3 linked regions of the Lonchura striata genome follow. The protein of the gene in region 3 binds, or shares a complex with, the protein of the main gene of each other region. Links are inferred from orthologs where the notes say so. Each region holds a gene or a part of one and is shown on either strand. Other genes may lie near its edges.

Region 1 (7,199 bases), on a different chromosome or scaffold from region 3:
AAGAGCAAAAGGTTCCTGTACTAAAGCCAGGCTTAATTTATAAAGTAATAAAGTAATAGATATATATCACTATTATATTTTCCTCCTACTAAAATGAGAGCAAGATTTATATGAACTGTACTTCATAGGCCTTGTGTTTCCTCAGGGGCCATTCTGGGAACAGCAGGCACTGCTCTCAGCCAGACCGTGAAAGTATGGAAGAATACAAAGACTGGAAGCTGGACGAGAAGAATTTAACAGAAACTGTTTTTTATCAAGCTAGGTTTAGTCCTTCCTATATGCTGAAGTGTTGCAACACAGTCAGGAGAAGTGTATTTTGTAACAGGTCCCTGGATTTTACTGTACAGCAGCACAGGTGGGCTCAGCTTTCACCCAGCAGCAGAGTCAACCAGATTTCAACACACAGCTGCAGTCAGGACAAAACCAGAGGTCTCACAAACAGAAACGTGGCAGTTCAGCCCAGGAACAGTAAAAAACAGCCAGACTAGAGAAGATCACATGATTGTTTTAACCAGGTTAAACTCTGAACTCAGTCCCACCAACCGACCCATACAGTCCCTTAAGAAACTCAGAAATGTCCTGCTGGATGAAGTGTCCTGACAGGCCAACACCCAGAGTCTGACTCCAAATAACTGATGTCCAAAAACCCTGATGTGCATCACAGCAAACAGGCTAATCTCTGTCCTAGCCAGCCCCTGCATCTTCAAATAAGCAATGCCTTCAGACTTGCCATCGTAACTGTCACACTGACACACCCCAAACAAGATTTTTTGCTTCTATGAATTTGTGCAGGCTTTCAAATCCATTTACAATATGCATGGCAATGCATCACTCCAAAATTTGCATACACACCTGAGGGATTTTGTCCATTTGCTTTCACCCGCTACCCAATAAAAGAAGCATTACAGATATCCAGAGAAATTACGACAAACAGGAGAAACTTACCCTATTTGCCCTTATCACTCACTGTTTAAATTTTAATCAAGCTGTACATCAATTGAGTATAAGGACTATGAATCCATTAGGTCTCTTTTCTGATCATTTTGATGCCTTTCTCCATCTTTTTAATTCTACAACATCCCTTTCAAAATGGTTATGTCTGTCATGGCTACACATCACCTCAATTCCCAAGAAGCTCATGTCTCAAATTCAAGCACTGACTTAACGCTCTCCCCAAGTTCCCACTTCCTTTTCCAAAATATTTACCTATATTTACCCCTAGCCTTTTTGACCAGTGCCTGGCAAAAGACATTCAGTTCAGAGATCTCCTTGCAGTAATTTCCAGATCATTCCAGAGTGGTGACAGCTTGTTTAGAACCACCATCACCTCTGGGAAGTTACAAAAGTTTCCACAGTTTCATTATTCTGCATTTTTGTGTTATTTCAGCTGCCACATCAATCCCAGTTAAGTGACAGACATTGCATCAACTTCCTGCAGTCCACTTTAGGCTGGAAAAATCCAAATCATTTATTTTCACAACAGCATTTTGACAGCATTCCCTGCACCCTCAATGGCTTCCATAAACCAAGCTGAACAGAAAACGCTTTAGCAAAGGCAATCAATTAAATCAGCTTTGCACTTCTCTCTATAACTGGATTCCAACTTTATATTTTCCCAACTAGAAAAGGAAGCAGGCCAAATGAAAGATAGGAGCTCTCCCAATAAACTCTGTGTCACTGATATTCCCAGGCTTCCACAGCTAGAACATTAATTACAAGCCCACTGACAGAACTGCAAGAACAATGGGAATTCAATGGCTTTGATAACCTGTACCTACAACAACATTGCCTGATGCCATTAAAACAGTGGTCAGCAAGGTCCTTGCCAGGGCTGCAAGCTGAGAAAAGAGCTCATTCTGGACCTTCCTGATTTGCTTTCCATAACAGTACAGATGTCTGATTTATAGGTAGAAATAATGGCACTTTCCACATGCAACTGGACAAAACAGCCAACAACAACAAAAAAAATGTAATTCCTCAAAGTTATTACAGGAGCTTAAAGGTACAGAAAAAAACATCAATATTTTACCTTTGTGAGGACAAGCACAGGGTCTGCCACCATTAAAACACAAGTAATGCTCTTAATCCTAAATTCAAATTTACAATATCACATCACAATAAACAACTACTTTTTTACACTACTTTGCTTGCTTTTACAGTGGGATTTTAAAAACTGGATAGTCAACTTTCAAAATATCAGCACTTCTGTACACATTTCACAGCAGGCCACATGAACCTGTCCAGCAGGCCGGTGTTTTACTCTGCAGGGAGTGAAAATTGAATATTTAACAACAACCTGGGAGGTTTTAATCCGACTTGCCACCGCATCGCAGACTGCAGGGGCATCAGCCCTGGGAATGACGGCATTCCTGCCCTTCCCTGGGGGAGCCAGGACAGAGCAAGGCCAGGCTGGACGGGGCTTGGAGCAACCTGGGACAGTGGAAGGTGTCCCTGCCCATGGCAGGGGCTTGGAATGCGATCATCTTAAGGTCCCTTCCCACTCAAACCATTCCATGATTGCAGGAGGATTTTATGATCTCTGGGCGTGGAGCAGCAGGGACATTCCACTCCTCGCCATGGGCTCTGAACACAGAAGGCAGCAAGGAGTACTATTTGATTAAATGAGCGCATCATTTATCAATGCTGAGTATATCTCGCCCACTCTAAAGCTCTATTTAACAGCTGGAAAGGTTCTTGTCAACCTTGAGGAGTCCTTTTCAGCCCTGGGCATCCTTCCTGGCGATCTCTGCTCGCCACCCCGCAGACCGTGCCGGGGCGGCCTCGGGCGGGCGCTGGCACCAAATCCGCCGGCCCGGAGCTGGCATTGTGCGTGAGGGAGGGCCGGACACCCGAGCGGGGCCCGGCGGTGCCCGGAGCGCTCCCGCACCCGCCGGGCCGCGCCCGCGGGCCCCGCCGCTCTCCCGCCCTGCCCGCCTCACCTTTGAAGAGATAATCGTACTCGTCGTCGCGGGTGCCCATGGCGGGTGGCGGAGGAGCGGGACCGGGAGCGCAGCGGAGCGGGGCCGGACCCTCCCTGCAGCCGCCGCAGCTCTTCCGCCCTCCGCGCTCCGCCCGCCCGCCCACAGGCGCTTCCGGGGCAGCGGCGCCGCCGCACGACCGCGCCCGAGGCAGCGCCGCGGCCGCGCCCTCAGCGGGGCCCGGCGGGCGGGGGTCCCGCCCGGCCCCGGAGCCCCCAGCGCCGAGCCCCCTCCGCCGCCCTGAGGGAGCGGCCGCGCTGCGGCGGCGAGCGGCGCGAGGAACTAGGGGCAGCCGGGAGGGGGTGGTGGCAGAGCGGTTCCATGGTGTAATGGTTAGCACTCTGGACTCTGAATCCAGCGATCCGAGTTCAAATCTCGGTGGAACCTGAATCTTTTCTACCCCCAGTTCGCTTTTATTTCTTTTCGGCTTTGTGTGCCCAAACGATGCTCGGGCTTCTCTGAGGAGTCCCTGTGCCCAAAGGATGGATGGGCACACTGAGCTCTCCGGATCCCTGTACTCAATGCCCAGGCACGCTCCCTCCAGGATCTCTGAGCCTATTCCCAAAGGATGGATGGGCACACTGAGTTCCCCGGACTCCTGTACTCCTGTACAGCCCAGGCACAGTCCATCCAGGATCTCTGAGCCTATTCCCAAAGGATGGATGGGCACACTGAGCTCTCCGGATCCCTGTACTCAATGCCCAGGCACAGTCCATCCAGGATCTCTGAGCCTATTCCCAAAGGATGGATGGGTACACTGAGCTCTCCGGATTCCTGTACTCAATGCCCAGGCACGCTCCCTCCAGGATCTCTGAGCCTATTCCCAAAGGATGGATGGGCACACTGAGCTACCCGGAATCCTGTGCCCAAGTGATGGCTGGGCATGCTCCGAGCTCCCTGGGCCTCTTCACACACTGTGATAATCTCACCTCACCTCTTGCCTGGAGCCCACCAACTTTAACCCCCACCATGGGGTGGGTGCCCTTCTCCTGCCTCCATGGGCAGGCACTGGCTCATCCCAAAGCCACCCACTAGCACAGGGGAACTTGGGGTTGGTCGATGGGAAGTCCCCCAAGAAGATCCCTCCTGTGAACTGAGCTGAGAGAGTCATATGAGCTTGTGGAGGTATTAGAGAGGCCAACAAGCTCTTTCAGCTCATAAGGTGCAAAAAAGCCATGAGCACAGGCCCCTTTCCCACTGCCACACCTGCCCACCCTGCTTCTCCCTTCCCAAAAGGTGTCCGGTTCCCCTTGTCTCCCCTGTGCCATGGCAGACACCAACTTTGTCATCAGCTTCTCCTGGTGCAGGCTTGAGATACAAACAACAGAGGATAAAAATAGCACTTGTGTCCAGATGATTAAACAGAATCCCTTAAAACTGCTCTTTCCCACCAGCCTGCCCTCAGCAGCAGCGTGTTTGCCATCACTGCAGTCAGTGGCTGTGTCATCATTCCTGCGTGTGGAAAGTAACCCCCAGGCATCAGCAGCAGTGCTGTGCAGCAGTTACCGTCTGCTGGCACCATAACGAGCCAGAACGTGATCCTCTGCATTTAAAGAGAAATCTTTCATGCTGCCTCAGAGCTTCCAAGTGGGGAAAACAAACATTAATAACAAAGACACCTGAAGGGTGACTGCAGCGTGTCCCTCCACAGGTCACAGAGGCATCACAGTCTGGGCTCACCCACACCCTGCTGCCAGCCTCTGATGTGCCCTGCACCTCCAGCTCCTCACAGGGGGTAGTGTAGTGGTGAGGGCTATAGGCATCTGTGTTGGATTCATCCTTTTTATCTCCAGCTAAACCCAGAATACACAAAATTTTGAACCTGAAAATGCTCATCCAGCTCCTGCCTTTCTCAATCCCCCGGCATTGAGTAGTACATCAAATAGATAACAGATACTTGCCTGTGTAGAGGCTGGGTATATTTATAATTCAGGAGCTCAGGTTTCTATCTCATATCCTATTTGCACTTGTCCATTAAACTTTGTTGTTAAAAAGCTATTAATTTTCACTTGATGTTTCTCAGACCTGGTTTCATCCTCCAGAACTGCTTTTAGAGCTAAAAAGCCTTAAAATAACACAGATTAAGTACCTCTAGTTATTCTCCTGTAAGAGCTGTTCTCCTTTTCATGCTTTGGATTGTGTTTGTGAGCCTAGAAACACCCTTTATTTACATTTTTCATGTGTGCAAGCATTACTTCCTCTTGCATCACATTGCAGATGTTCCTCATCTGGAACTGACTTACCCTGTGCAAGAGTTTAGGGCACAGAGTGAGGACAGTGGCTCTTCTGGCTTAGGTAAAAATCACAATCCCCACACTGCTGCAGCACTGTCACTTGTTGAACTTGAGCCATTGTAAAGCAAAGACATTTTTACCATTGATTTTTTTTAGCAAAACATGACTAGTTGTGCAGATTGCTATGGAATTGGGCAGCAGCAGGGATTACTTCTAGCTAAGCCTGTTTGAATGCAATTGACATTTAAAATCAGATTCTTCACGGTGAAAACTGAAACAGTAGAAAGAGCTCTGTGTCTAAACAGGAATCAACAGAGCAGGACATGAGGAGAGCATTGAACTAGCAAGGAGCTCCAGAAATTAAAGTCTTATATCCTGTTCAGTTCTGGGTTAATTTTGTTGCTATTCAAGCCACAGAGGAGAATATCCAAAGCCTCAGGAAATGTCACTGTCAGCACAGGCTGGTTTGGGCTGCTCTGCTCTTTCCCTGTGTCCCCTCCCAGAGTGAATTGCTGCAGAGATGGGACGGCCTGGGACACCTGCTGTGCACAGGAAACACAGCCAGAAAGCAGAGGTCAGGCTGGAATAACAGAGACTGTGCTCTCCAACTGACAGCTTTTATTGTGAGAACAGTCACTCAGCACTGGCATTTCTGCTGCATTAATTGCCATTAGTGTCATCCTTGCAGGAACACTAAATTCATGGCAAACCTTGAATTAGCACGCTCTCATAATTCCTGACTTAGGCAGAACCATTTGCAGAGGCAGCACATCCCAAGCAACTGGAGCAGAGACAAGGGATGATACTCAGCTGGGCCTTGGCTGGTCAATTTAGCAAAGAAAGAAGCAGAGGTCACACTCATAACTGTGTATTTATGGGTCTGTTCTGGAAATTCCCAGAGCAGCTGCCAAAAAGAGCCCAGCACCATTAAGGTGCAGATGTGTGTCAGGGCTTCCAGGTCTCAGCTGCCCAGCCCCAGGCACTGTGCATCAAGATCTCCCTGCATCCAATTCTCACTTCATTCTCCACTTCCCTCTTCCCACCAACTCCTGAGATCCCCCAGAGTAATCCTGGCCTAATAAAGTGGAAAATTTACCACCAGCCTTGATGGGTGTGGCATTCCCACAACAAGGTCAAGATGTTTTTGCAGAGCACACTGGTGGTATTTGACATGGAAATGGCAGAATGTGAAACAGGGATGGCCAGTATTTGCTGCTGGTCCCAGCAAAAAAAGAAAAAGCTTTTCTGGCTCGGAAATCCCTGTTCACACTTTGCAAATCCATCTCTTTGCAAAGCTCAGAGAAGATTTGGGATTGGAAATCACAATAATTCAAAATTGTCCTTGAAGGGCTGTTGACCCAAATTCCCATTTCCTGGATAAAAGCAGCCCCTGGCTTTCCTGGGGCAGAAAGCAGGAAGGACAAAAGCAAAGGCCCAGAACTGTGTTTTATCAGAGGAGAAATATTTCCTAAGGGGAAAATTCAATCAATACTTTGCAATTTCCTAACAATCCATTAATCATTGCAATTATGCAGAGATAATTCAAGCTTTCGAATCCAGCTGCTAAATTAGAGACAAGCGTACTCTTAGCACGCACTATCCTCAGTTTCACATGTCAGTCAGAAAAAAACTCCTTCAAATATAAAATCTCTCCACAGAAATTTAAAGAAACCAATTATTTTTAGAAACCTAGACCAATTTAAAGGGTTTACAATGTACAAGGATTCTATTTTCCAGGTAATTCTATGCCACAGGTAGGAATAATGAAAATACATGGAGTTAATATGAATTTTTCTGCATTCCATCACCTGCTATGTCCTTTCTGATTTCTACAGCTTTAAGAAGAAAAGGTATAAGAAGAAATATACCAAATCAAAATTAATTTCAAAATTAGCCTTTCCTTTCCTAACCTTGAACTTGGAATAAAAAAAAAAGACCTGTATCTGAACATATTTTTTATCCAAAATCAAATCTAATTCTGGTTCTG
Region 2 (8,036 bases), on a different chromosome or scaffold from region 3:
TAAAATGTCTTCTAACACTTTTGTATAGCAATAAGCTGCCTTCCCAAGTTTTGATATACTATACAAGAAACGTTAAGCTCTCAGTATTTTCCTCTCTGCTCCAGGTTTCAATGCTCCTTCTCTAGCTCCACAACCTTCTTTCTGAGCCCCAAAGCCACACTGCCACCCCCAGCCAGGGTCTCTGCTGCAGGAAAGTGCTCAACAACCCAACCATGGAGTTCTGCATCCCACACTGCTGGTTTGCACAAAGAGGACAAGAAATACAAGAGAAAGGCAGCAGTACTTACATTCTCTATGTTTATATTTGCTTTTGCACTGGTCTCCATGAATTTAATCCCGAAACTTGCAGCAAGCTGAACAAAAGCATATTGCACATTATTGAACAATTGCAGGAACAGCTCCAAACACAGTCCTGGGCACAGCATCTGTCCCTGCTGCCACCAGCAGTGGAGTTGGGGATTTACTCATGCAGAACAAAAATTAGGAACTAAATCCCACTGCAGTTGGCATCTGTTCTCACTGTCTTTGCTCTGCTCTTTTACACTCTGCACACTTTTTAGGTTGCTCTTTTTCGTTTCTTGCATAGATACCTTGTCAGTCTTGTAACAACCACAGTGCAGAAAAAATCTCTGCCTCGCCTAAGTAACATCTGACATCAGAAAAGACAATCCCATCTACCTTGTCTCAGTGGCTTTCAGCCAAAACAGACATTTATCCATGTCCAACTCTAGCATCCTTTTAGAGAAGTCCTGCTGGTTGCCTTGCATCTGTTAGATAATTGATAAGAATACTTAACACAGGTTCTGCTGTTGATGCCAGTGGGGGAAAGCATTGCCATGGCAGCTTGGGGAATGCTCAGGCACTGCACTCAGGAACACCACAGGGGTACCATGGCACGTGCAGACAGTCAGCAGGCCAGGTTTTGGACTCTGAAAAGCCTAAGTCAAAATACATCAAAGCCACGGCACTTACCTTCTCCCCTTGCTCTCTAGAGACTTGTCTTTTGTCATTTGCATCACATTTGTTCCCCAGGATCATTTTTTCAACGTCTGGAGAAGCGTGCTGAGACAAACACAGACCAGAAACTCAGGCTTGGCTTTTGTAGACAAACATTGTCAGACAGGTGAGGCACCCACTGAGTACCCAACACAGAGATGCCAGTCCTGAGAATCTTCCCCAGATTTCCAGGCTCCCCCAACCCTTCTTCCCAGGATGTAACCTGCACCATGGCAATTCTTGGATCAATTGTTGTGGTAGGAAATTGTCACATTAGGTGCCCTCAGAAGTACAGGGGCTACAGCCCTCACAACAAAGCACTGTCAGCCAAGGCATTCCAAAAGCTTTTACTGATTTCCATCCCACTTATCTTCCAAGTTCCCTGCAGCACATGAGAAAATGTAATGCTTCTGAAGCAATTATTTTCATGGGAAGAAATGACACCTTTAACAGTCAGTAATAAGTAAAGAGAGAAATTACCTCTTCAATATTCCTCACCCAGTTCCGAATATTTTCAAAAGACTTTTCATTGGTGATGTCGTACACTAGCATAATGCCCTAAAGGTAAAGAAAGACTGTTTCAGCAGGAGTTAAAGGTTTATCCACAGCAGAGAGGAGCAACTCAACAGTGGCTATTTTTAATAACTGGTTCCCAGCTAATGGCAGTGAGATAAGGTGTGCAGGACATGTATTTATAGAGTGAAACATGGAGGAAGCTGCCTTTCCAAAGTCCCAGATCATCCCAGTGTGGGAAATGGATTCGTAGAGAGTTCTCAGGGCCTGACAGAAAGCTCACACATAATGCAAACTTTGAGATAAGAAATGCTGACTTAGAAATACTATAGAATAGAATATTGTTGAGAGAGAAATTGAGCTAGAAAAAAGTTTCAAAATATGGTTTTGTAAATAAGACTAGATACTTTGGAGAAATAGAATTAAAGAAAATATATTGTAGTGGGACCTGTGAGAGGTAGTTTTAGATGATTGGTTTTAATGTATCTACAACACGGTGTGGTAAAAAGTTGGGAAGCCAAGAAACACTTATAGTGCATTGTAATGAGGAAATAGTTGGCTTCTGATTGTGATGGTGTGAATTATAACATCTGTATTGTCTCACCCTTCTCATGAGACTGAAATGAAATGAAAGTTTTTGAAACACCGCTCAGTTACCCCATCTCTAAGTCAAGAAAATGGTATTATCCAACATCCCAGCACAGCTCCAGCAGCACTTGGAGCAGAGCTGTGAGTGTTCTGTGTCAGAGCCAGCTGGGTTTGTCCCCCCTGTCCCCGAGCTGCCCCTACCATGGCTCCCCTGTAGTAGGCGGTGGTGATGGTCCGGAACCGCTCCTGCCCAGCTGTGTCCCTGCAACAGACACAACACGGGGCTCAGTTCCAGTTAACACCACAAAAGCCTTCAGTTAATTTGAAGCACTCTTCAGAGCTGCCTTTTGGCTTCTAAAACACCATAAACCACAGAGCAGCACAACCGCATAGGAACCGAACCGAACCTCCCCACGCACAGCACACAGCCCCAGCGATCAGACGCTGACTGCAGCACAGGAGCCTTACCAGATCTGCAGCTTGATTCTCTTGCCATCGAGCTCTATCGTTCTAATTTTAAAGTCGATTCCTGAAAGGAAAACCAATTTCTTTACTCCCAGCTCCCGCCCAACGGCCAAATCCAAGGCTTTGCCCTCAATCCCGCTGCTCGGTGTGGCGTCCCTCAGTGCTCCCTCCCGGCACCGGCCGCTCCGGGGAGGTCTGGCGCCGGCCCGGTCTGGAGTGTCCCGCCACGGCTGCGAGCCCGGCGGAGAGCCCCGAGCCCGGCGGAGAGCCCCGAGCCCGGCGGAGAGCCCCGAGCCCCGGGCCCGCCCGCGGCTCCCGCGGCCCGAGCCCCGAGCGGGACGCGGCCCGGCGGGGATGGCGGCCGGGCGGCGCTCACCGATGGTGGAGATGAAGGTGGCGTTGAAGGCGTCCTCGGAGAAGCGGAAGAGCGCGCAGGTCTTGCCCACGCCCGAGTCGCCGATCAGCAGCAGCTTGAACAGGTAATCGTAGGTCTTCGCCATGTTGGTGGGCCCCGCCCGCCACGCGCTCATTGGCCCAGCCCGGCGGAGAGCGCACGGAGCCGGCCCGCCATTGGCTGGCGGACCTGAGACGGATGTAAGCGGCGCTGCGATTGGCTATCGGCCCCCCCCTCCGGTGTCCCGTCATTTCCCGGCGGTAACACAATGACGTCATCCCGTACCTGCCCGCACCGTGACGTCACACCCCCAGCGGTACAAGAATCCTCAAGAAGCCGCGGTACTGTGAGAAATTGTTTAATAAGAAACGGCAGCGGGGGCGGCGCCGCTCGGGTGCAGCTCCCACCGGGGCTTACACCAAAGGACAGAGGAACCGTGAGAGCAGCCACGGCCCCGGCACGGCCGCGCGGCTCCCCGGCCCCCAGGGATGCCCGGGGCCCGCGGTGCGGCTGTGCCGGGCATAACTTAAGTGGCTTGTCCGGGATACAGAGAGAGAGGGGAAGGAGCGAGGCAGGGGCAGGTGGCGCCTGCTGGCAGCGCTGAGCCACTCATATACAGTTCAGTTCGTTTAGTGTCTGGTCCAGTGTCTGGTGCAAGCCCAGGTTCTCCTCTTTGGCTTGAGCAAGTTTTTCTGGTGAGAAAGGAGAAAAGCACAAGATTTAAATAATGTTATTTTCTAGCCTTTTTGCTTTAAATAAAACCTGGGGTAACTTACCTTCATATTTAAGACACTTTTATATCATCAAAACAGGGCCATTTTTTTTGTAATTGCTATCCCTAAGGGAGTTTTTTGGACACATCTCATGGAACATGTCAGACCTGTGTTTTAATGTGTCACTGTGTCATTTATAGGCCACATCCTGCTGGCTTTTCCTTGGAGTGAGAGGTTTTTAACCAGGCTGGTGGAGTACGAGCAGACACTGAGTGCACTCAAAGCTTTTCACTGACTAAAGGGAACACCAAAATTCAAGTGTTTGCCCCATCCTGACCATGTCTTGCCCAACCCCACACGAGCAGCTGTGTGGCGAGCACATTTCTCTCCCTCTCAGGATTTTTCATAGAGGTGCACAGAGAGAAATGAAAGAGAAAACAATTTCTATTTCTGCTCCTTGTTTTTCCTATTTGGAACGTGTTTGGAGAATTGTTTACCTGGGGTGAGATCTTGGTTGGATTCTGTGAGGATTGTTTGAGCCTGGTGGCCAATCCAACCCACCTGGGGCTGCACTCTCAGAGAGGGTCACGAGTTGTGAGAGAGTTAGAGTCAGAGAAAGTAGTATGGAGTTTTAGTATCCTGCTTTTATATAGCATATTAATGTATTTTAACATAGTTATAATAAAGAAATCATTCAGCCTTCTAAATTGAGTCAGACATTGTAATTTCTTCCCATTGGGTTCGCCTACATTAACAATACAGCTGAATGTGTTTTTGGTGTTGCCACCACTGTATTTGAGGTGATCTACACAGAAGTAAACCCTGCAAGATGAAAAGTAGAGGTATCATGTTTTATTGAGCTCAGTTCCCAGAGGTGGAAGTGGCACAGGAGTGACAGGGATTACAGGCAAGAAAAGCTTGAGAAAACACAGTGAGCGGAAGGCCGTGTCCCCACGCAGGGGCGGGTCACAAAGAGGTCATGTCGTTGAGGGCATGGTCCAGCTCCTCACTGATGGCTTTGTACTTCAGCTTCTGAGCATAGAGCTCGTCTGTCAGCACCAGGGCAGCAGGAACAGGCAGCAAGAAATGCAGGCAAGAGAAGAGGCCACAGGAGGAGAACGGAGACAGGCAAAAGCAACAGCAGCCAAAGCAGTTGGGGAGGAAAACAAAAGAAGAAAACAGAAGCGTAGTTGAGTATCAGAAGGAAAGCAAAACACCCGCCAAGCTGCCTGGTCAGAAGTTTCACCTATGTGAACTTTTTGTCTTTTTGTAATCTCATTATTGTTTTCAGATTAAGTAGGGTGGGGATCGTGAGCCCTTGAGTCCCTCCATCTGTTAGTTGGCCAAAATCAGGTCATTGTTACCAACTTTATGGAAGAAAACCTTTTTCAGGAGAACTTCCACCACACAGGGCAGGTGCCCAGTGGACACATCACACCCATCCACCAATATGCCTGACCAATGCTGCTGTTCTTTCCCGTTACATCCACCACCCAACTCCTAGAATTTGTTTTCTGATTTTAAACTGACCACCTTTAAAGAAACTTGACTCATTCCATACCTTCCAGGTCATCAATAGACTTTTCCAGTTTGGCAACAGTTCTCTCTGCAAATTCTGCACGAGTTTCAGCCTAAAAAAGTTGAAACAGCATCACTGGATGCTCCTAGAAAGATTATGCCCTAAGATGCATCCAGCATGGGGGTGGCCAAACTTACTTCTTTCAGCTTGTCAGAGAGAATCTTGATTTCTTCTTCATATTTATCTTCTTTTTCCGAGTACTGTGAAAACAATAAACACTCTTTAAGGGAAATTGTAGCAACAATAATAAATGTTTATGAAACTGTGACCTATTTATAAGCACTCTTCCTTTTACAACAGCTGCAAACACCATTTCCGTGCTTTTCTGCTCTCCTGCAGACCTTCAGGATTGTTTGGAGTGGTATCCACAGGCAGGCAGGTAAACCTCTCATCTGCTTTTTATTTCTGGTTTATTTCTGTGAATTCTATTTACAAGTTTAGGCTTTGCCCATATCCTTTAGTTTACTGAAAGAACCAACCTTTTCAGATTGAGCTTCCAAAGATTTCAGGTTGTTTGTGACGTTCTTTAACTCCTCTTCGAGGTCACTGCATTTACTAGAAGGAGAAAATAGAAGTATGAATTACTGGTGTTCCTGTTATGATTTGGAGGAGTCTAAGAAATACAAGGGAGGAAGTAATTAAGTGTGAAAGAAGAAAACCAGGTATGCAGTGTGCAAACAGACTTTTCTGCAAGTACTAACTACATGCCTGCCTACCAGATTATTTTTATTGAAATGTAGTGTTGGTATTTCCTATATTCTAGAAAGTTACTCACACTTCAGACACCTCTGCACGCTCCTCAGCTCTTTCCAGTTCACCCTCCAAAATAACCAGTTTACGGGCAACCTGTAAAAAGACAACAGCCAGTTGTCAGGCCAGTGTGCAATTTGCAAAATCACAGCACGGCCTGGGTTGGGAGGGACCTCAAAAATCATCTAGTTCCACCCCCTGCCACAGCCTGGGACAACTTCCTTGCAGATTTCAGAAAGCACTCAGAAGTACTCTGTTCCTGCTTCCTCTGGAGTAAGGAAATTAGGTTAAAGCATGCACCCACAGAGGTAACAGCCCTCCCCAATTAGTTAGATTTTGCAGTATTTTTTGCATTAGGTACCTAAGGAGTGCAAATCACTATTAAAATTCCTCCTTGCTGGCAATGTTGCAAGGTTGAAGCATCGCCCAGTGCCAACTGAACAGAGGGACTAGACTGAAGAGCAGTGTTACTGTTCATGGCTCTCCCACAGCTTTCACCATTTCCTTCTCCCTTTTACCTCCTCATACTTGCGGTCGGCTTCTTCAGCAATGTGCTTGGCCTCCTTCAACTGCATTTCCTGAATTTCCATTTTCTCTTCATCTTTCATTGCTCTGTTCTCAATAACCTTCATTCCTCTGCAGAAATCAAAGCATGTTTAACTGAGAAGTATTTTGGCACTTGTATCTCAACTTCACAAAGTGGAATTTGAGATTTGTAGCCTAAAAGTGACCCATCGTGTTCATCAAGGCTAACAGAATTACCCAATCAAGCTTGTAAAAAAGTTTCAAGTCTCTGCCCTGCAGTAGCACATGCAGATACTTAATGACACACAACAGAAAATAAAAAAGGAGCGTACCTCTCGCTCTCATCTGCTGCTTTCTCAGCCTCCTCCAGTTTCTGCAGGGCTGTGGCCAGTCGTTCCTGGGCACGATCCAACTCCTCTTCCACGAGCTGGATGCGTCTGTTCAGAGCTGCCACCTCCCCTTCAGCCTGCGTGGAACCAGAGCAGGGTCACACAGGGCACTTGCTGCTGGCACATGCCCCCAGTGAATCAGTTTCCCTACAACTTCAGCAGCATCTCCCTGGGACATGCAGGGCAGCTCAGGGGCCCTTCTGCCTCTGCTTTTTTGTTTGCTTAAACTCTGGCATTTCAGGAATGTCAAGGTATGGAGTGTGTGCTTGTCCTTTCTTTTTTTAATGGCACTTATCATTCCTGCCACACAAAAAGGAAATCTACATGATTGCAAAAGGATCGGGGTATTTTTGGAGCACTTCACAGGGCTGCATCTATTCAAATTCAAAAAATGAACTGTTTCCACGATGGCTTAGTTCCAAAACCTTCACCGTTGGTTTCTCTGCCCTTGGTTTCAGTGGCGCCCTGTCACAGCTCGCTGTGAAGCTGGAGCCAGCTCCTGATCCATCCTGGCTGCCGGAGAATCTACGTGGTCAGCTGGGCACAGACACTGACCTCAGGCTTTTTTGGGACAAAATCAGATATATTCTTAAAATATATCTGATTTTTGCTGATATAACTTTGCTTCCTGTGGTACATAAGGGATTAGGCAGGGCGCATTTCTCAGTAATAAGATCTGTTTGTGTATTGCTGAATAAACTGCACAGTAATTGGAACACCACTAATGTGTATAAGAAATAGACTAGTTAATAAAAGGAAGATACTGCTGGGAGAAATGCGATACAGACAACATGGACAAACTGGTGTCCATAAATATGTGTTTATTAAGATTCAACTCCTTTAATTGCTTGTTTTTGAAGGAAAATAGAGCCCTGCTTTAGTAACTGCCAGGCTTGTGCACTATATTGTCCCCCAGTCTAAGGAGGATTGCCATATACAGGATTAACTTTTTTTTTCCCAAACACTTTTGTGGAATACAGACTCTGGAGGGGCAACTGTTTTATGCTTTATGTTAAAACACTTTGGAAAAAAAAAAAGCGTTTTGCTGCAGCTTAGCAAATTTGGTCACTGACCACTCCTAAGCTGGAGGAAGTGGTTTCCATTCACTTCTGAGCCATCTTGGA
Region 3 (7,453 bases):
CAGTTGTGTATAGATATATGCTGTGTATAAAATAATTTACCAAGTTTATATTTTTTAATATTCAAACCTTGACTTTCAGTTAATGAGTACATGGCTTTAATGAGTATTTCCTTTTTAGACATCATTTTAAGCTCTTGTTTCTGACATTAATTTAGTGCACAGACAACAGAGTTGGTAACATTGGTAACAGAGGTGAAGACTATAAAGCAGTTTGAGGTTTTGATGCTGCAACATATTTGTTGCATGATTTGAACACATCATTTGAAGACAAATAGGAAAGAATCAATATATGTGATACAGATAGAGTTTGCTAAGGTTTTTGAAATTCCCTCCTGTGACACCTCATAAGAAAGGGAGGGGCATGCTGTTCAGCATAAACTACTGTAAAAACAATACAAGATGGGTGTGAAAACCCCGCTCAAACCATGTTTTTAGAAAGTAAATTTTTTAAGAGGAACATCTCAGCTCAGAGGATCATTCTGGATCTGATAACATGCAGTATTTTAATTAAGGACTTGGCTGATGGAATAGACAGCACACATCAAATCTGCTAGATGTGAAGGGTCAAACATTTTTCAGAACAAGGTTAGAATTCAGAAACAATCCATGGACATAGAAGAAAATTCACAAGTAAGGTCATACACAAGCTGAAGAAGGACTGGCTAGCAGCGTTCTGCTGCCAAAAGAGAATAAGCAAAGGATTGTTTGTGGGATGCATAAGCAAATGTGTGATATCTTAAAGCCTGTGCTGGTCAGACATCAGCTAGACTGCTGTTCTTGGAATTGTGCACTGTACTGACAAAGACCCACAGGAAGAAACGCAGCAAGTACAAGAAAAAACAATTTGAGGTCTAAAAAACATCACCTTAGAGGAAATATTAAAATAATTATTTATTCTTTGATAAAATTGAGGGTGTAGATGATGCTATCAAATGCCCTGAAGATTGCTACTTCCTGTATTCACTGAGATAAGCTCATTACCTCTTCTACACTGCAGCACAGGAGATGAGGTTAGACTTTGGAAGATATTTGTAACTCCAAGGTTAGTTCAGCACTGGAATGCACTGCTTAGGGAGGCTGTTCTGTCTTTCACCATTGGAAGTTTTGAGAAAGAGCTTCAGGAGCAGTTAATATCACTCCTGCTTATTTTCTGTTATTCTGGGCCTTGTTTTAGTGTATAGATTTAAAAGATAACACAGACCTCACCAGTTTTAACATTCTATTAGTTGGACAGGCAGGGCAGCACAGAGATAAGTTTTAGGGCTCCAATAAGCTGGAAGCTCATTTATACCAAAATACCAATTGGATTTGCTTTCCAAATGCTTAGCTTAACACTGAAGAAATATGCCTGAGTGGGGATTTATAGTTCCCAGTGCTGCTAGCACTGGTTTACCTGAGCTAGTAGAAAAGTGGGGGGGAAAATTGCTAAAGACAGTCTCTGTACCTTTCTTTGTATATAGTGAATCATTCTTCGGGGTTTTTTTTCACTGTACTATGAGGATTCAATGCATGTGTGACTACTATCAATAGATTTATTCTTTGGCTCTCCTGAGTTTATTGTTTTGTAACATCTTGACAAGAAGAGAGGTAATAAGTACAGTTCATTCAATATTAAAAAAAAAAAGTAAGATAAGTAAGGCAGAAGAAAGGCAAACAGAAAGTGAGAAAATGAGTAGAAAGTGAGATTTCAAATTTTATTTGCTTTATTTATCCATGACATTGCTGGGATATCATCCCCTACTAAACAACTTAAGATTTTTCTACAAAGAGAACAACCATCTCTTTCTTTTATTCCTCCCAACCTATAGGGGGGAAAATTACATTAGCTGGCATTTGTGCTTTGTATAGAGATGAGAAATTCAGATCAGAGCAAAACTACACACTTGTATTTTCTAAAGTCCTGCAGCAATCCTTGCCTTCAACAAAGAGCTCTGCCATGGACTGGGACTACCTTCTGCAAAACAGTTTTGTCTCTTCTGTTTTCTCCTAGAAACCTGAAATAGGTTTCTTAGGTCAAGTGGACTGTAACTATTAGGAAAGGAAACAAGCACATTTGAAGATACAGACTCAGAGAGATTTTTCACATGTGACAGAAAACATTGACAGACAGAGCTGCAGTTCAAGGGAACTCTGTGCAGTGCAGGAAGTGTTTGCAGTGATTTTTATCACACCTTCCATCAGTATGACTTGGAGAAAAGCTACACAAGTCAAGACTCAGTTTTCACTATATAGATTGCTTCAGCCAAGTCTGTGCCAAGATACCTATTCAGTGTTCAGCTGGAGAATGGGACTGCGCTGGGGCATTTAACCACACTATGGAGCTCAAAACAAACAGACAAACCATACTCTGTCTTGTGTGAGTCTGTCTTGGATGATTCTTCCTTGGATGAGCCTCAGACCTACATTACAGGTGTAGGTCTGCACACAGGTCATGCATGTCTCCAGTACTGCCTCCTGAATGGATCCTGGACTTGATTTGACATCTCACTTGAGTGATGGTCACTGGTGTATGGCAAATCTTGTTGCTATTGCCCCCTTGCTCTGCTCTTGGCTGTGCCTTCATTGGTGACCATGGCTCTCAGTCCATAATGCCTGGAGGAGTAGCTCTGCCCTGACACTGATGTGCAGCTCAGGGAGGAGCAAAGGGGTGGATAAAAATACTCTTATATCTTTTTCTTTTCCCCCAGCCCCATGCAAAAGACTCCTCTTATTTAAGACTCTGGATTTAATTCTATTTATTTATTTATTTTAGCTTTTAATCTAACCATGTAAATTATGTTTTCTGTGATTTGTTGCTGCCTGACTCTTCAGATTATTACACACAGCAAAATACAGGAGTACTTTGACAAAATAAATCAGTTGGTGCTTAATTTTAGCAGTCAAATGTCTTTGGGACTGTATTGTTTTTATTTCTTGAAATGCAAGATGTCTAATCTGGTTAAAACAGCAGATTGTCATGCCAAGCACAGTCATTGTACAGGATTAAGAACTATAGGATTACAGATCCTAATTATAGACTCTTGTTGGTTAACTATGTCTTAATAGGTTGTTTTTAACTTCTGATTCCACTTGTCATTTATTTTGCAATCATGTTTTTAATAAATTTCTGATGCATCTTCTAATTTGTCAAACCTGTATTCTTATAGCACTGTCTGGATTCTATTTCATGTCAATATTAGCAAATTAAATAATTTGAAGTTCAAGGTCCTTCTACATCTCTGCTCTTTTAGTTTTTTTACAACAAACTTCAAATTATACTGCTGTTTGAACATTCCCTTCTTGCACTTTGGTTTCTTGGTATTCAGATTACTTCCAGAAAAGTTATAGATGAAGATTTTCTGTAGCCATTTTTCTGCCTGAGCCCCATTGTAGTCAATGTAGATCTACATATGGGAAAGTAATTTAGAAGATATTAGTATTTAAAGGTACTGTATTTACTTTATGAGGAATGGCATTGATATAGTTGCCTTTTGACGTCATCTTTGTCATATTCTTTTGCTCTCAATGACCTTTTTGCTTGGTAGATGCCATGGGGAATGTGCCACAGAGACTATTATTTGTCTGTGGCTATGTCCTGCAGGACTGGCCAAACAGGATTCTTTCACATTCAGTGGAAAGCTGTCAAGATAATTAAAGTTTCAATTATTGACTGGAATTCAGCCTAGATTCCTTAACTGATGAATGGGACAAGGTCTTGGTTATCTTAGTTTTTGCTCAAGTTCTTCACCATGCAGCACATAATTCTGTTCAGCTGCACTAACAGCAAGGAAAGTACATGGTCCAGCTAATACTGCTGTCATTTGAAGCATATTTTTTGGCACTGTAATCAGACCAGTGGTGAAATGGAGTCTTATTTATAGCAGCTTTATAACATTTTGCCTATCACCTTTAAGACATAGGACATGCAGAACAGTACAGACCAGGACTTCAAGTGCACTAAGTACCATGCTTGTGTCAGGGTGGCAATGGGGACAACTTAGGGCAAGCCTAGATGAGACACGATAGTAATTGCTCTTAATCAAACTACTGGAGCTGGAAAAACACCTATCCATAGCAAGTGAGGCCTTTTATAGCTCTGTATGTGGCCTCATTTCAGAAATTTTGTGTGCACAGTTCAACCTTTAATTATGAAATTATAAATACATTAGGGAGGCTTGGAAGCTGATTTGGAGCAGTGCATGCCCCATGAATGAAAATTGGTGGATAACCACTTGGCATATTTTTAATTTTCTCCTTTTTAATTGCACAATCTTGCGCCTTTGTTACTGCATACAACTAAACACAGAACTATTAACTTCCTCGTGTTTTTCACGGCACAGAGCGCTCAGAGTTCGGCAGCGCTGCCGGGATTTAACTCTGGCCCAGGGGACGCGCAGACCCGCGGGCGCGGCCGCTCCTCCTCCCGCCCCCGCCCCGCTCCCCTCACGGAGTCACCCCGCCCCGCCGCTAGGGGGCGGCAGCGGGGCCGCGCGCACCTGCCCCCTGCCCCCGCCCCGCTGCGGGCGCTGCGCTGCGCCGCGCATGCGCGGCCCGGCCCCGCAGGTCGGCTGAGGGGACGCGGCGGCGGCGGCGGCCGCTCCTCTCTCGAGGCTCGGCAGGTACGTGCGGCGGGGCTGCGCGGCCCCGGCCCCGCCATGGCAGCGTGGGGTGGCTCCCCGCTAGTGCTGCTGCACCTGCCCCCCGGCGCGTCTCCGGCTGCCTGCGCCCAGGCGGGCGGAGCAGGCGCCGCCGGGGAGCGCTGCCCCTAGCCGGGGCGCCGTGAGCGGGCGCGGGCTGGCTGTGGGACTTGCCTGGAAGAACGCGGGGACAGGGGACGGCCCGGGCCACGCCGCTGTGCCCGTCTGCGGCGGGAGGGGGGCCCCGGGTCCGTCGGGGCTTGCGTGGGCACAGAAGGGGCAGTCGGCGGCAGAGATGCGCTCGTCCGCGAGTCCAGCCGCGGCCGAAGGCAGAACTGCGCAGCAGTGGGGATCGGCCCGGGAAGTACCTGCCCCGGGGTGGCAGCGGCGGCGGACGGAGAGCCGCGGCGGCGGACGGAGAGCCGCGGCGGCGGACGGAGAGCCGCGGCGGCGGACGGAGAGCCGCGGCGGCGGACGGAGAGCCGCGGCGGCGGACGGAGAGCCGCGGCGGCGGACGGAGAGCCGCGGCGTCCCCGGGCCGGCGGGTCGGAGCGGCTCCCCAGGTAGTGCCTGTGCGGGGCCAGAGGGGAGGGGCGGCTCGGCGGCGGCGGCCGAGACGAGGAGAGGAGGGATGCGAGAAGCTGAGCAAGTGCCGCACGCTTCGCCTCCGCTCACGGAGCTCTCGGCCGGCGGGGCGGCAGGTGCGGATCGGGAGAGCGCCGAAAGCGGCGGGGGGAGGCCGGGCAGGGCCCCTGGTGGAGCTCGCAGATTTCGCCTCCCTCGAGGGGTCCCAGAGCAGCGTGGGTAGGGACAGCAGTGGCGTTCTGCGCTGTGGGACTGCGCTGGCCTCTAGCTTTTGTGGTTGCTTTGTGGTCTGTCGAACAATATTGAGGGCCATACTTAGTCGCCAATAAGTTGAAGTAGTTAAGTAGCATATTTGACTTAGCTTTATTTTCTAATGTAGTTATGTTGGACAGTAAGGCTCAGAAAGTAAATTTTGGTACAAGTTGATACAAGCGATGAGCTATGCAGAAATTTGTGGTGCCCGACTGCTAATGCTTTATTAATTCCCCGAGGGTCGCAGGGCTTTAGAAGTAGGAGAACATAGTGACTAAAGCCTTAATGATACCCTCAGTGTTTGTCTTGCTGACAAAAAGCTACAGTGTTTTTATAAGTTTGAAAATGTTGTCTATTTTGTTTGCAGATTGTATACTAAGTTTTATGTTGCTTGCTTTATTTGCTGCATTCCTTTTTAAGTATGTTCGTAGGAAGTCTCGAAACAGTTATCTAAATAGATAAAATAATTAATCATGTATAGACTTGCTGTAACTGAAACTATCAGCTTCTCTTTTGAAGCAGATGTAAGGTTATTCACACTAGATGTATGTATTGGCAGCTACCATCTGTTCAAATATTTGTATTTCTCACTGTAGGGAAAAGCCTGAAATCTTGTTTTTTTAATATTTTTATTGATGTTTCTATTATAGAATCTTAATGAGTTTTTGGAAGGGTTAAAGTTTGGCCTTCTGTATTTGTCTCTTGGCAGTCATTCATCCGTTGTGCTTGGTTAATGTTACCTAGTGAGCAAAGAAGGATAAATAATTTACTGTTCTCATTATGCTTTTAATAAATAACAAATGGGAGTGCACCTCACAGCTGCGACTGGAATATCCATCTTGTTATGCTATATTTAAAAGGGGAATTTTTTTTCCGTAGGACAACAGAACAGTCACAAGAAGCATTTTGATTATAGACTGCAGCTTTCTTCATAGCTTTTATTGATTTGGTTTAAAAATTCATGTAAAATACCAAATGAGATGGTCACTCACTGTTCCACTTAGGTTTATGGATTTTTTCAGAAAAGAGATGTGTACTTTGGATTTTTATTTTTAAGACCCTTTTTAATAAGGCACGTAAAATATTGTCTTAATGTAACTTGTCAAGACTTGTATTAGAGACTTCATTAGCACTAATACGGTAACCATTTTTTAATAAATTAAGAAAATACTTTTTTAAATGCATTTGCAGTTACAGTGTCAGGAAATTAATGGTAATTTTACTGAAGTTTAAGTTTACTTACTGAATATTTTCAGTGTTAAGTGAAAGCAAGAGGGTCTTTAGGTCCAAGTCTTGGCAAGAACGACACTACAGTCATTGTGATCAGGTTTAAACCTGAGATGGGCTAGTAAAATTGTTTCCAAGATAAGGCAGAACAATGCTTTGCTTTAAAAGGACCAGGAACTGCAAAGAGAATCGTATTTTCATTTTAATTAACTTGGTTTGAGAGTCTTTGTGAACAGAACAGCATTCTTTGAATGTTTGTTTACAATGAAAGTTTGTGGTATTCTTTGCCTTTGCAAAGCACTGACTTTTCACTGTAGTAAGAGGTGTACTATCTACCAAACCCTAAACCATTTTTATATATAAGTTTCACAAACACTTCATAAATATAGGTCATTGAATCTTGTGTGCTGCTTGTTTCTGTAAGAGACACTTGCTGTCTGTACCTATATTTTTCTAGTTGAAGATATATCTAAAATAAAGTTTAAAAAGATTTTTTTGTCATCACTTCATCAAAACAAAAATCCTTGTAACTTCATAAAATCCAAAGTAGACTATGTTTCTTTTAAAACAGTGCAGAATAGTGTTTTCAATGCGTAAAGTGAGAGTAAAAACAGATTCACATCATAGTATTATATGACAACAGTAGAGGGAATGCCGTAGAAAAATATTCTCACGTTAAACCAAGAGTGTTTCTGCTAGCTGTTAAATTCTGTAAACTTGCCGAACTTATACCTTACTGTTTTACCTAATTTATCATTTGTTGGTAAATATAT

The links. The genes of interacting proteins can lie anywhere in the genome.
Region 1: the proteins of RAB3IP (region 3) and RAB11A are in contact, whole or in part, in a crystal structure (PDB 4UJ5), measured with the Homo sapiens proteins. The link is inferred for Lonchura striata from reciprocal best matches to the Homo sapiens genes RAB3IP and RAB11A. Residues at the interface, in NP_783322.1 of Homo sapiens: Asn367, Thr368, Leu369, Ser370, Ile371, Glu372, Pro373, Asp412, Arg424, Thr428, Cys431, Asn432, Thr435, Tyr439, Leu444, Val445, Lys446, Gln447, Gln448; in NP_004654.1 of Homo sapiens: Phe36, Leu38, Glu39, Asp127, Leu128, Arg129, His130, Leu131, Arg132, Ala133, Pro135, Thr136, Leu156.
Region 2: the proteins of RAB3IP (region 3) and RAB8A are in contact, whole or in part, in a crystal structure (PDB 4LHX), measured with the Homo sapiens proteins. The link is inferred for Lonchura striata from reciprocal best matches to the Homo sapiens genes RAB3IP and RAB8A. Residues at the interface, in NP_783322.1 of Homo sapiens: Ser199, Arg202, Asp203, Gly206, Leu209, Glu210, Thr213, Ala214, Phe217, Glu218, Ala220, His221, Val224, Asn228; in NP_005361.2 of Homo sapiens: Lys10, Phe33, Ser35, Thr36, Phe37, Ile43, Asp44, Phe45, Lys46, Ile47, Trp62, Ile73, Ala76, Tyr77, Arg79, Gly80.

What each region holds. Positions count from the first base shown.
Region 1 is NC_134613.1:22,382,842-22,390,040, reverse strand, and holds the start of RAB11A (ras-related protein Rab-11A), read right to left. Parts: upstream 3,092-7,199; 5' UTR 2,980-3,091; coding exon 2,940-2,979; intron 1-2,939. UniProt on the Homo sapiens protein: The small GTPases Rab are key regulators of intracellular membrane trafficking, from the formation of transport vesicles to their fusion with membranes.
Region 2 is NC_134630.1:4,669,252-4,677,287, forward strand, and holds the start of RAB8A (ras-related protein Rab-8A), read right to left. Parts: upstream 3,092-8,036; 5' UTR 3,063-3,091; coding exon 2,939-3,062; intron 2,627-2,938; coding exon 2,566-2,626; intron 2,360-2,565; coding exon 2,299-2,359; intron 1,555-2,298; coding exon 1,477-1,554; intron 1,063-1,476; coding exon 973-1,062; intron 354-972; coding exon 288-353; intron 1-287. Other genes in the region: TPM4 (tropomyosin alpha-4 chain), read right to left, coding at 3,566-3,648, 5,231-5,300, 5,386-5,448, 5,728-5,803, 6,024-6,094, 6,517-6,634, 6,856-6,989. UniProt on the Homo sapiens protein: The small GTPases Rab are key regulators of intracellular membrane trafficking, from the formation of transport vesicles to their fusion with membranes.
Region 3 is NC_134607.1:44,681,767-44,689,219, forward strand, and holds the start of RAB3IP (rab-3A-interacting protein), read left to right. Parts: upstream 1-4,369; 5' UTR 4,370-4,373; intron 4,374-4,491; exon of another isoform or gene 4,492-4,557; 5' UTR 4,558-4,598; intron 4,599-7,453. UniProt on the Homo sapiens protein: Guanine nucleotide exchange factor (GEF) which may activate RAB8A and RAB8B. Promotes the exchange of GDP to GTP, converting inactive GDP-bound Rab proteins into their active GTP-bound form.